Mus musculus: one gene and its partners. The main gene of each other region encodes a partner of the protein of the gene in region 3 in a complex. Links are inferred from orthologs where the notes say so. Each region holds a gene or a part of one and is shown on either strand. Other genes may lie near its edges.

Region 1 (3,653 bases), on a different chromosome or scaffold from region 3:
TGGATAAACTTCCACAGACAGAAGTTGTTTTACTTACACTTTTGAAAGAAGCTGCAAATTCAGCGACACCTGGTACTAAAAAAGAAAAAAAAGTTACTCATGTAGGAAGCATTTGTGTTTAGGCACTGAGGACTTAAATAATAAAGAAATGCTGGGTGATGGTGGTGGTGCACACCTTTAATCCCAGCACTCAGGAGGCTGACACAGGGGGATCTCTGTGAGTTCAAGGCCACTCTGGGCTATAGAGCAAGTTCCAGGCCAGCCATGGCTACACAAAGAAACCTTGTCTGAAAAGAACAAAACACAAACGGACAAACCAAAAACCTAAAAAACTGAAAACCAAATCTTGCCTTCAAGTAGCTTACACTCTAGAAAAAGACAGAGCATATATTATCAGCATCACTTAAGCACTTCAGAAAAGCATCAGGTGTCACAGGAAGACAAGAACAAACAAATAAGCTCTCATGGGAGCGAAGGGGCGGAAGAAGCTTCTCTGAGAAACCACTGCCTCCCGCTTTAAAGGGCCAGGACTGGGCCTGAGAACAGTAAGCTATCTCTCGCCTCAGTTTTAACCCCCTCTCCAGAGCTAGCGATTTAGACCAAGGATAGAGTGCTTTTCTAGCATGCACATGACCTTGGTTTGAACCCCAGGGCTACTAATAAATAAGTAATATAAATAAGCTAAACATTCTTTTCAGTTGTCCTGTTTGGTTTATTTATGCAAATGCCTCATGGATACTACCACATTAAAAAGCAAAGCAGCTAAAATACAAAGGTAGAGGGAAATAATGTTCAATTCTGTTAACTAAGAAATACAAGCTGGGGCTCAGTGGAGAGAGGCACTTGCCACCAAGCCAACAACCTGAACTGTAGAGTCTCAGGCTTATGGTAAAAGGCCAGAACTGACTCGGACCAGCTGTCCTCTGATTTCCACACATGCGTCATGGCACGTGGCTGCTTCCCTCAGCCCAATAATGAATATAATTTAACCTAAAAGAAATGCAAGTTAAACATAACAATGAGGAGTGACACTGGCTAGTGAGAAAATGGGCAGTCATCCTCTTCTACATACAGGATAGATATGCAAGGATACTCACTGATACACTGCCTGTGAAATACAAATGAGGTAAGTTAGGTTTCCAAATAGAATGTGAATATAGAAGCTAGAATATACCTGTCCACTGTAATATACATAAAACAATGAAGCAGACCTACAAAGATCAACATGGAACGATCCATCAAATTTCCTGTTGAAATAAGTTAAGCTGAAAGCTCTATACATATTACATCATCACTATGAAAACCAAAAATTCCTGTGTGATATACATGCAGACAATACATAACATACATATGTATATGCTTATCTGTACACGTATAAAAAAGTCCAAACAAGTCTGTAATAAAATTACAAACAATATTTAACTATTTCACTAAAGGAGATGAACAAATGCTTTGTGCATCTCAGTATTGTCTGAAATTCAGATATATCGTTTTAAAACTATAATTTTGTTTAAAAGCTCATTATCACTTCTTGCAATGTTCTGAAAAGTTAAACCACTAAGTCCCTATTTTTACTGTACATCAATCTCTTCTCTTTAAACCAAAATAAAAATTTTAGTCATCAGATCCATGATAACACTATAAAATTCTCCCAAGGGAGCGCCGGCTCTCCTGCGTCAATTCTACTATGAGAAAAGTCATAACTCACGCTGTTCTGGCCAGAGATCTGGTGAGGCACGGTCAAGTTTCTCAAAACTTAGCAAAGATGCTTCCAAATCCGTCCCTAGAACCAAACACCAAGATGGGATGAGAAATGCATTCATTCTCATTTTATTATATTTCAATCTCAAAGAACATAGCCTGAAACACTCAATTAGAAGTTCAGAGGTCTCAACTATTGATTCCCTGAAGCCCTATTGGGGCATGATGTAATACAAATAAATTTGATTCTCCCTCATCAAAACTCAGACTTCCACTTTATTAAAATAAGTGTTTAAGAAAGTCAGGTCTCAAAAGAAAAAAACAAACAAACAAACAAAAAAAAAAAAAAAGAAAAGAAAAAGAAAAAGAAAGTCAGGGCTCAGCCAGGCGGGGTGGCATACGCCTTTAATCCCAGCACTCGGGAGGCAGAGGCAGGAGGATTTCTGAGTTCAAGGCCAGCCTGGTCTACAAAGTGAGCTCCAGGACAGCCAGGGCTATACAAAGAATCCCTGTCTCGAAAAACCAAAAAAAAAAAAAAAAAAAAAAAAAGAAAGAAAGAAAGAAAGAAAGAAAGTAAGTAAGTAAGTAAATCAGGGCTCAGTGGTTAAGAGCATGGATTGCTCTTCCAGAGGTCCTATGTTCAATCCGCAGCACCTCATGCAGCTAACAACTGTCCATAATTCCAATTAGCATACATGTAGTACAAAGAAATACATGCAATCAAAATACCTATACACATAAACTTTTTTTTAAATGGGTATCAGGTGGACATGGTGATTGACACATATAATCCCAGCATTTGGGAGACTAAGGCAGGAGCATTGAGAGACCAGCCCAGACTACAGCAAAACCCCTTGTAAAGAAGAGTGTCAGCAAACCCACCTGTCTTCCTACACTCTTCAACTTGTCTCCAGTTACAGTCAGCTAAGTGTCACTGCTCTCAACAAAGATAATCTTGACTGTAGACCACTGTCTTCAGCTTTAATAAGCACTTCAGACAGTCTTCTTGTAGCAGAAGTTTCTATTTTAGACTCAGAGCCAACAAGCAAGCCTGATCTAGAATTTATCTCCCTTTTCACTTATTAAAAGAGCACTTTGCTGTGTGATGGTGGTGAATGACTTTAATCCCAGCACAAGGGAGGCAGAAGCAGGTAGATCTTTGAGTTTGAGGCCAGCCTGTACACAAAGTAAGACCCAGGACAGCCAGGGCTACATAGTGAAACCCTGTCTCATAAAAATAAGTAAACAAATGAGAGAAAGAGCGAAACTATACTTAATGTTAACCAAGTCTCCACATGTATGTACACACATGCACCAGTATCCATATGCATGTCTGAGTGCAGACACACACAGAAACATGCAAACTCTCCCTTTAAACTCATAGCCTCCCTCCTGGGTATCCCGTTGTCCTTACTCTCACACCTCACACTCTGTGTGTGTGTGTGCATGCACACATGCATATATGGATGTAATAAGTCTACAAATAGGCATATGACAATAAACACCAAAAAGGATGCTAAATGTTTTTATTTTGTCTATTAGTGGCTCACTAAGAAGCTAGCTGGCCAGCATGCTCTCAGGATCCAGCTGTTTCTGGGCATACCCTCCCCACACCCACAGAGCTGGTGGTACAACCATGCCTGGCTTCCAACTCAGGTCCTCATATTTGCAAAGCTAGCTGCTTACCTACAATGTATCATCTCCCCAGGACCTACACCCTCTAACCTATAAAACTCTTAGTTCAGTCCCTAGTGCATTGAAACTACTGTTATCAAGCTTCCCTTTGCCAGACCGTCCCACTTCTATGTGTCCCTGCTATGACCTCCCACAGCATGAGATGCTTTCATGAAACTGCTGCGCTTGTTTCCTCTTAGTGACTCCTCCTTCACTCTGCTCCACTCAGATCTCAGACTGTGCTGGCTCTACTCTCTACAACTTCCACCATCATATAC
Region 2 (3,653 bases), on a different chromosome or scaffold from region 3:
TTGTTGGGATTTGAACTCTGGACCTTCGGAAGAGCAGTCGGGTGCTCTTACCCACTGAGCCATCTCAGCAGCCCTAGAAGTCTTTTTTTAAGACCTGTTTTTTTCTTTTATTTGGGTACTTGCCTAATCTGTTCAAGAGTATAATCTTGAGAGCAAGAGCTTTAATCTTGAGTCTCCTGGGGTACCCTGCCCTTAGTAGCATTTATACAGTAGCAGGGTTACAGTAATAGCAGTAGTGAATTTACTACTCACATCACATGCAAAGAGCCTACACACTTAAAAGTGGCAGAGCTGGGTCTTGAACCACTGGGTCTTTTGACTTTAGAACTTACTTTTTCATTATTAGTAAGTGTGTGCATTCATGTGAGTATGTGTTCATGTGCATATATGCTCATATGTGCATGTGTATATGCATGTGTGTGCACATGTCTATATGTGACTGCTCATGTATATGTAAGTTCATGGGTGTTATGTATGTGCACATGTGTGCACATGCATGTCTGTGTGTGTGCATGTGTGGTGTGTTCACATGCATGTGTGTCAGTGTTGTGGGAGTTGGCTTTTTTCTTCAACCACGTAAATTTCAGGGATTAAATTCTGTGCACTTGCTGAGTGAGCCATCTTCCCAGCTCAAGAACTCAGACTCTTAGCCTTTTTGCCCTGCTGTCTTTTTTAAATACCTAGTTGTTCCAGCATGATCTTTTTTCTAGCGTAAAGAAAAACACAGAAAGTAAAAGTAGTAGCACAGAATGGTGTGCTTAGCTGAACTTGTAAATGCAGTGCATTTGTTTTCGGTTTTGTATGCGGCTCTGAGCACAGGTTGAGGGATTTCAGTGGGAAGCTTTGAGCCTGCAGATAGTCCCTCCCCTGGGGGGTTTCTCACCTCAGATTCATATTGCTGGGGGGAATAACAACTGTGACAGGTAACTACTCCCTTTTGTTGTTGGTGGTGTTTTTCTTTATTGTTGTTGTTGTTTTGGTTTGGTTTTTATTGTAGCCTGGGCAGGCCTGGAACTCATTATGTAAGTCAGGCTGGCCTCCCAACTCACAGAGATCCATGGATCTTGCCTCTGCCTCTCAAGAAAGGTAACTAACTGTCTTTGATTAAAGATGCGCAAAGTGAGAATCAGGTGGGATGCTCTAAGCTGGTTCCTAAGCATAGCTTGAAGGATAAGGATTCTTAAGTGTTTTCAGTACTGTTTTTTGTAAATATTATTATTTATTTTTTTTTAAAGCAAAACCAGTGGTTGTTAATACCACCCCTGTACGGATGTCAGTTCCATTTGTCCAAGCTCAGGCCGTTAAGCAAGTGAGTATTGTGTAGCTTCTCCATTTTTTTTTCCCAAAGGGCAATTTACTTTTTAGTTATAAGAAGCTGGGCATGGTGACACATTCATTTAATCCCAGCACTTGGGAAGCAGAGACAGGCAGATCTCTGAGTCAGACTTGGCCAGCCTGGTCTACAGAGCCAGTTTCAGGACAGCCAAGGCCATCTAGAGAAACTCTGTTTTGAAAAGCTAGAAAATAATTTGTATACTGGATTAAGCTCCCATAAAATTAATGGTTTGTATTATTTAGTCACAAATTTTCTTTTTTTTTTTTTAAGGTTGTTCCAAAACCAATCAATTCAACTTCACAAATTGTAACTACCAGCCAGCCACAGCAGCGGCTCATCATGCCTGCCACACCACTGCCTCAGATCCAGCCCAACCTCACTAACCTGCCACCAGGTACTGTGCTGGCACCAGCTCCAGGAACAGGGAATGTGGGCTATGCAGTGCTTCCAGCTCAGTATGTTACTCAGGTACGTGGGGGTGAAGGGCCTATGCTTTGGAGCTGCTGTTTGCCCTTAGAGTGTCTAACTCTACCACGTTCTAAGTACAATATAAACATCAGCTCTGTATTAAAATGGCTCTTTCTAAAGTGTTATATTAATTGAACATCTGAATTTATTTTTGTTTAGAATTTAGAGATATGTAGCAGAAATAAGATTTAAAAGTTGGGTAGTTTGGAATAGTTTGGTGATAGGGCAAGACTATAGATAAGCATTTTACAAAGTTGACATTAAAAATCAGAATCCCGGTGATTTTAGGAAAGACTGTGCACACACTAACGTTCATCTGCACACACAGATATGATGCTACTGGCTTGTGCTGGAAAGTAGTTTGTAAGGTACATTTCTTGGGGACTTTTTGAGACAGGATGACACTTTAGTATAGGGCAGCATGGAGCTGACCATGCCTCTGCCTTGGGGGCTGGAAGGGTGAGCGAGAACCACGGCTCTCAGCCAGGGGACCACGATGCTTCCTGAGTTCACATAGCAGTGCAGAGTGGATAGGAGCTGTGTGTGGGCCCGGTGCATTTCTCACTTGAGAGATGTTATTTTGGTATTGGAGGATGTTCACCTAGAATTTCCTATAACCCTGACATTGTCCTTTGTGAGGTAGTCTTTTTATATCTGTACCATTCAATGCTGTTAGACATTCATGCTATTTCACTAGTGTTGGTTGAGGTCTTTAAAAACACGCCATCAAGTTTATATGAAATTCCCCATTGCTTTTTATCTTTGGGTAGTCATGCTTCTTACATATTGTTATGTCTGAGAGTGCTATCAATTTTGCAAATATTAACTTATTTTTTTTTCCTAATAGTTACAGCAGTCTTCATATGTGTCTATAGCAAGCAACTCTAATTTTACTGGAACATCTGGCATCCAGACACAGGCAAGGCTTCCATTCAATGGGTGAGTATTTTGAAAATATGTAAATTGAATTATTAAGTCAGTTTAAGTGCAGCATTAAATAGATTTATTTGAAATATATTCCATTTGTTTTTCCCTTTAAAGCTGTGCATTTGTCTAAAGCACTCTATTTTGAGATAGTTGAAATGGACAAGTTTAGAGACCATCAGCAATGGATTCCCTCCTGTCCTTTGCCAGCTTTTCTGTGTTTCTCCGCTCGCTGTGAATGTTTGTAAAACGGTGTTTAGTGCTGTTCTTCACGTGTTGAGTGTTGGCTCCATGTTATTGTTTGGCAGCTCTTGGCTGCCTTTGCTCTGTTGGTCTGTGACCCGTGCTGAGTTAACCAGCCCATTTGGTCCCACTGCCCGTTCTTCGCGCACCTCCTCCTCCTTCCTTCTCTCTTCGTGATGAAACCCCAGGAGCTTTTATAGCTTTTCAGCTTCAGTTCTCTCAGAGAGAAGAGGATGTGTGATGTATTCCTAGCAATTGCTGATAATATTTTTTAAAATGTAAAGGAGACATTCTAATAAAGTTTTGCCAGAAGTGGAAGCATCTATTAATGTTTTATGTTAGGCAGAATTTATAGATTGGAGGTTGTTTTACTAGTTTTAAGTAACTAATTGATTTTTTTTGTGTGTGTGTGTATGTGTGTCTGGACAGCATAATTCCATCAGAGTCTACCAGTCGGCCCAGAAAACCCTGTAACTGTACAAAATCACTGTGTTTGAAATTGTGAGTAGTTTATTACTGTCTGCTTATTTGATGCAACTACACATGTTCTTACAATTAAATGAAGCTAGTTGGGCATGGAAGTACAAGCCCAGTGGTTGTCACACTTGAAAATAGAGTCCAGAGGATGCTCTGCTCCACAGTGAGCTGGAGGTTGCCTGAGTCATGGGGGGTGGGGGTGGGG
Region 3 (3,753 bases):
GGAGTTAGAGGGGGGTGGAGTCTGTGGCAGGGATTCTTAGTGGGCAGCAGAGGGAGGAAGTTGCCTTTGCTCCAAGTGCCTTTCACCAACAACTAGAAGAAAAAAAGAACAAGAAGAAACAAAATACAGGACAGAATCCTCCAAACTCAATTCATAAAGGAGTGCTTTCTAAAAGCAAACAATTAAGTGTCAATCAGCTCTGCCTAACTATGGATTTAGAATTTAGATCGTCAGCATTCTCTGGAGTCACAGGTGAATAGTCCAGGCAGAGTGACCTGCAAAAAAAGCACACAACCTGGGCTGAGTTTAACTTGCTTAAGAATTTGAAACAAGCAGCTAGTTGCAGTGACTTGGATACACATTGTATTCAACCATGCTTATCTGAGGAGATCAAATAAGACCTGGGGTTTCTGAATGCTTTTCCAGGGAGTCAAAAAACAAAACAAAACAAAACAAAATATATACATATAATATATATGTATTGTATATATTACATGTATATAGTATATATTATATACATATAAAAATATATTTTTTATATTTTTTTCAACTGAGATGTCATTAAAATTTCCTTTGAATAGCATATGTGTGTGCGCATGTATGTTCATGCACTCACCCATTCATGTATGCATGAGTGACGGCCAGAGTTAGATGTTGTGTGACTTCATCTATCATTCTCAGCCTGTTAGGACAGTCTCTAACTGAATCCGGAGCAGGCCAGAGCACTCCTGGGGTTTGCCTGTCTTCACCCTTCCATGTCTCATTACCTGTAACCCCCCTGGGTTACAGCCCACACTGCCACTGCACCTGCCTTGTATGTGGCTGCTGGGGATCCAGGGGCTCGGCAAGCACGTTCTCTGCCAGGCCAGCTCTCCAGCTCTCTCATACTTTCAGATTCTCCCCGTTTTCCGGTTATGAACCTTCTTTTGTAGATCACTATCTTTCATTAAGTCTATTCTGCCTTTTGCTGAAAACATGTGAGTTAGTCTCAGGTACTTTTCTCTCATAGGAGTATAGACACGTGTACAACAGTTGCTCCCTATTTCCTACTCCCTGACCAGCAATTATTTCGCTGGCAGTCTGAGTCAGAGGAATCCTATATGTGAATCCTGCCCATGTGTATAATGAAAGCTTTTGTACATCTCAGTTAGATGCTGAAATAGTCTGTCTCCATACCCCCTGGGGGATGGCTCCTGTACTCCAGAAGATAGCAAAATCCAAGGATGTTTAAGTCCCTGATTTAAAATGGCAATGCATTTGCACATAACCTATGATCATCTCTAGATTACTTGATGTAAATGCTATATAAATAACATTACATTGTTTGTGGAATGACAAGTCTGTTCATGCTCAGGACAAATGTAATTTTCCCCAAAGACTCTTGATCTGCTGAATGCATGGACATGAATTCCACACACATGCCAATACAAGTCTACTTCTACACTAAGCTTATGACCAATCTGGGTTTCTATATTAGAGTGACTCTAATTCTCTAAAAAAAAAAAAAAGGATGTTGAGCTGTAACACCACCAAGAAAACAGGTATAGTAGTCACTGTCCTGCTGTAAAGACAAATTTTATATATGTGTGTGTGTGTGTGTGTGTGTGTGTGTGTGTGTAGTCTCAGGTACTTTTCTCTCATAGGAGTATAGACATGTGTACAACAGTTGCTCCCTATTTCCTACTCCCTGACCAGCAATTATTTCGCTGGCAGTCTGAGTCAGAGGAATCCTATATGTGAATCCTGCCCATGTGTATAATGAAAGCTTTTGTACATCTCAGTTAGATGCTGAAATAGTCTGTCTCGATACCCCCTGGGTATATATATATATATGTATACACACACACACACACACATATATATCATTAACATATGTGTGTGTGTTACTGGGAATACCTAATAATGATAACAAGCACCATTTATTTTATTCAGAGCCAGATACCACATCAATCGTTAGAGCAACGGCCTGGCAGAGAGGAACGTGGGGCTGAGAAGAGCTTTGTGTGTGCTGACTTTGATCTATCTAACTACAGTGCATGGTATAAACGAACTAACTGCTACACTCGATTAGGTGGAAGAATGGAGGAGTTAAAGGGCTCAAACTGCTGTACCAGGTTGCATGGCAAACTGCGTCACCTTGGGCGCTAAATTAACTTCTTACCGACCCCACTTTCTCCCTCTGTGGAATGGGGATCCAGTGGTGTTTCAAACGAGTTGGGGAAGACATAATCAAAGGGCTGAGCAGCGATGAGTAATTCATTTTACCGCGGGATCAGGTCTGATCGATTTAACGGCAGCACCGCGCCGTTTGGGGCACTGGGCGGCGCGCAGAAATCAAGTTTGAAAGTTGGGAGCCTAGGGAACCCCCGCAGAACCGGCGGCTCACTTTCCGATCTTCGGTTTCCCGCCTCAATCCAAATGGGTGGGTTGGCCGAGCTACACCCACCCTTCCCTCCCCGCACTCCTCGGAGACCCTCGTAGGTGGGGAACTCCCACCGCCCGATAGGCTTGGGGCGGGGGCGGGCCGGGGGTGGGGCCTGGCGAGGGTCGGGGCCGCCGCCCACCTGCCGCCGCTCACCTCTAGGCTGTAGTTGCCGCGGATGGCCGTGAAGTCATCCAGGGCTTCGGCCGCGCTTCCCTCGTCCAGGTTCAGTTCCTGGCACAGGGCCTGCAGCGCCTCCCTGGCCGCGGCGACCGCCGCCGCCCCCTCGGCGTGGGGCTCGTCCTCGAACATATCCCCCTCCGGCCCGACGGGCGGCGCGACCGGCTTCGGGGTTTTCTTTTCCCTCCCGGCGAGCTACCCACAACCCCCCGCGACAAAGCGCGCGAAAATCGCCTTCTTGAGCTCGCCTTCCCTTCATCGTCTGCCTCCGCTTTTCTTCTCAAAAAGTCCCTTTCTCCTCTGGAGCCCGCAGCAGCCCGTCTCCCGGAATGGGATAAGAAGATGGACCTCGGACTCTAACGGAGATCTAGCTCGGGCCCTGGGTGGGCAGCTGCGGGGCTCCGGGCCGCGGGGACGGACGTGAGAGAGCGGGGCGGAAGGATCCGAGCCGGTGCTGAGGCTGCCGGGACTGTAGCTCGCGCCCCGCGCTCTCCACCGCGGGTTCCCTGGTGTGGGTGACTTGGGACTGCGAGTCCGTTCACGCTAGTGGGAAGCCTTCTCCATGACACTGTCCTGTGGACCCTAGGTTTGTCAGCTCCCCGGCGCGCCTCCAGCCCGCTCTCACTGAGCTTTGACCCTCGATGGAGGTGGAGGCGGGAGCTGCCGAAAGTGGCTTCTTCACGTAGAAGCGCCACGTCAGAGACTCCCAAATCTCGCCAGAAAGGGATGCAGGGACAAGGGTTTGGGGTGACGGGTCTCAGCCTCACTCCCAGGATTCTGGAAACTGTCCCAGTAAATAGTCGTTTCAGGAATAGAGATGGTCCTCGCGCTTACCTGAAAGGTGTTTTTAAAACCTAAACTAGAACCTGATCGTTTTCACTCAGAATCCTGCACGAGATCATTTTTTGTCTTTAAAATACAGAAAAATAATAGCATTCAGATGCACCAGGTAACTCGTAACCTTGGGAATATCAAGCTAGTTCTCAGTCGCAGGAGGCTTTTCTCCGTGTGTGAAAATGCTATTGTGCATATCTTTGCATACCTTGCTCTTCATCATTTAAGTCTAATTTTAACCTTCTCAGGCCATTACTGAGCAGTACATCTATAAGCTGACACCTAACTTCTATTTCATCGTCTCCATTGTACCTTAT

What was found.
Region 1: Rbl1 (region 3) and Lin52 share a complex: the UniProt entries of both Homo sapiens proteins name them as parts of the DREAM complex. The link is inferred for Mus musculus from reciprocal best matches to the Homo sapiens genes RBL1 and LIN52.
Region 2: Rbl1 (region 3) and Lin54 share a complex: the UniProt entries of both Homo sapiens proteins name them as parts of the DREAM complex. The link is inferred for Mus musculus from reciprocal best matches to the Homo sapiens genes RBL1 and LIN54.

What each region holds. Positions count from the first base shown.
Region 1 is NC_000078.6:84,454,371-84,458,023, reverse strand, and holds part of Lin52 (protein lin-52 homolog), read right to left. Parts: intron 1,784-3,653; coding exon 1,709-1,783; intron 76-1,708; coding exon 38-75; intron 1-37.
Region 2 is NC_000071.6:100,452,091-100,455,743, reverse strand, and holds part of Lin54 (protein lin-54 homolog), read left to right. Parts: intron 1-1,235; coding exon 1,236-1,309; intron 1,310-1,606; coding exon 1,607-1,804; intron 1,805-2,651; coding exon 2,652-2,743; intron 2,744-3,400; coding exon 3,401-3,472; intron 3,473-3,653. UniProt on the Homo sapiens protein: Component of the DREAM complex, a multiprotein complex that can both act as a transcription activator or repressor depending on the context. In G0 phase, the complex binds to more than 800 promoters and is required for repression of E2F target genes.
Region 3 is NC_000068.7:157,201,722-157,205,474, forward strand, and holds the start of Rbl1 (retinoblastoma-like protein 1), read right to left. Parts: upstream 2,814-3,753; 5' UTR 2,735-2,813; coding exon 2,579-2,734; intron 1-2,578. UniProt on the Homo sapiens protein: Key regulator of entry into cell division. Directly involved in heterochromatin formation by maintaining overall chromatin structure and, in particular, that of constitutive heterochromatin by stabilizing histone methylation.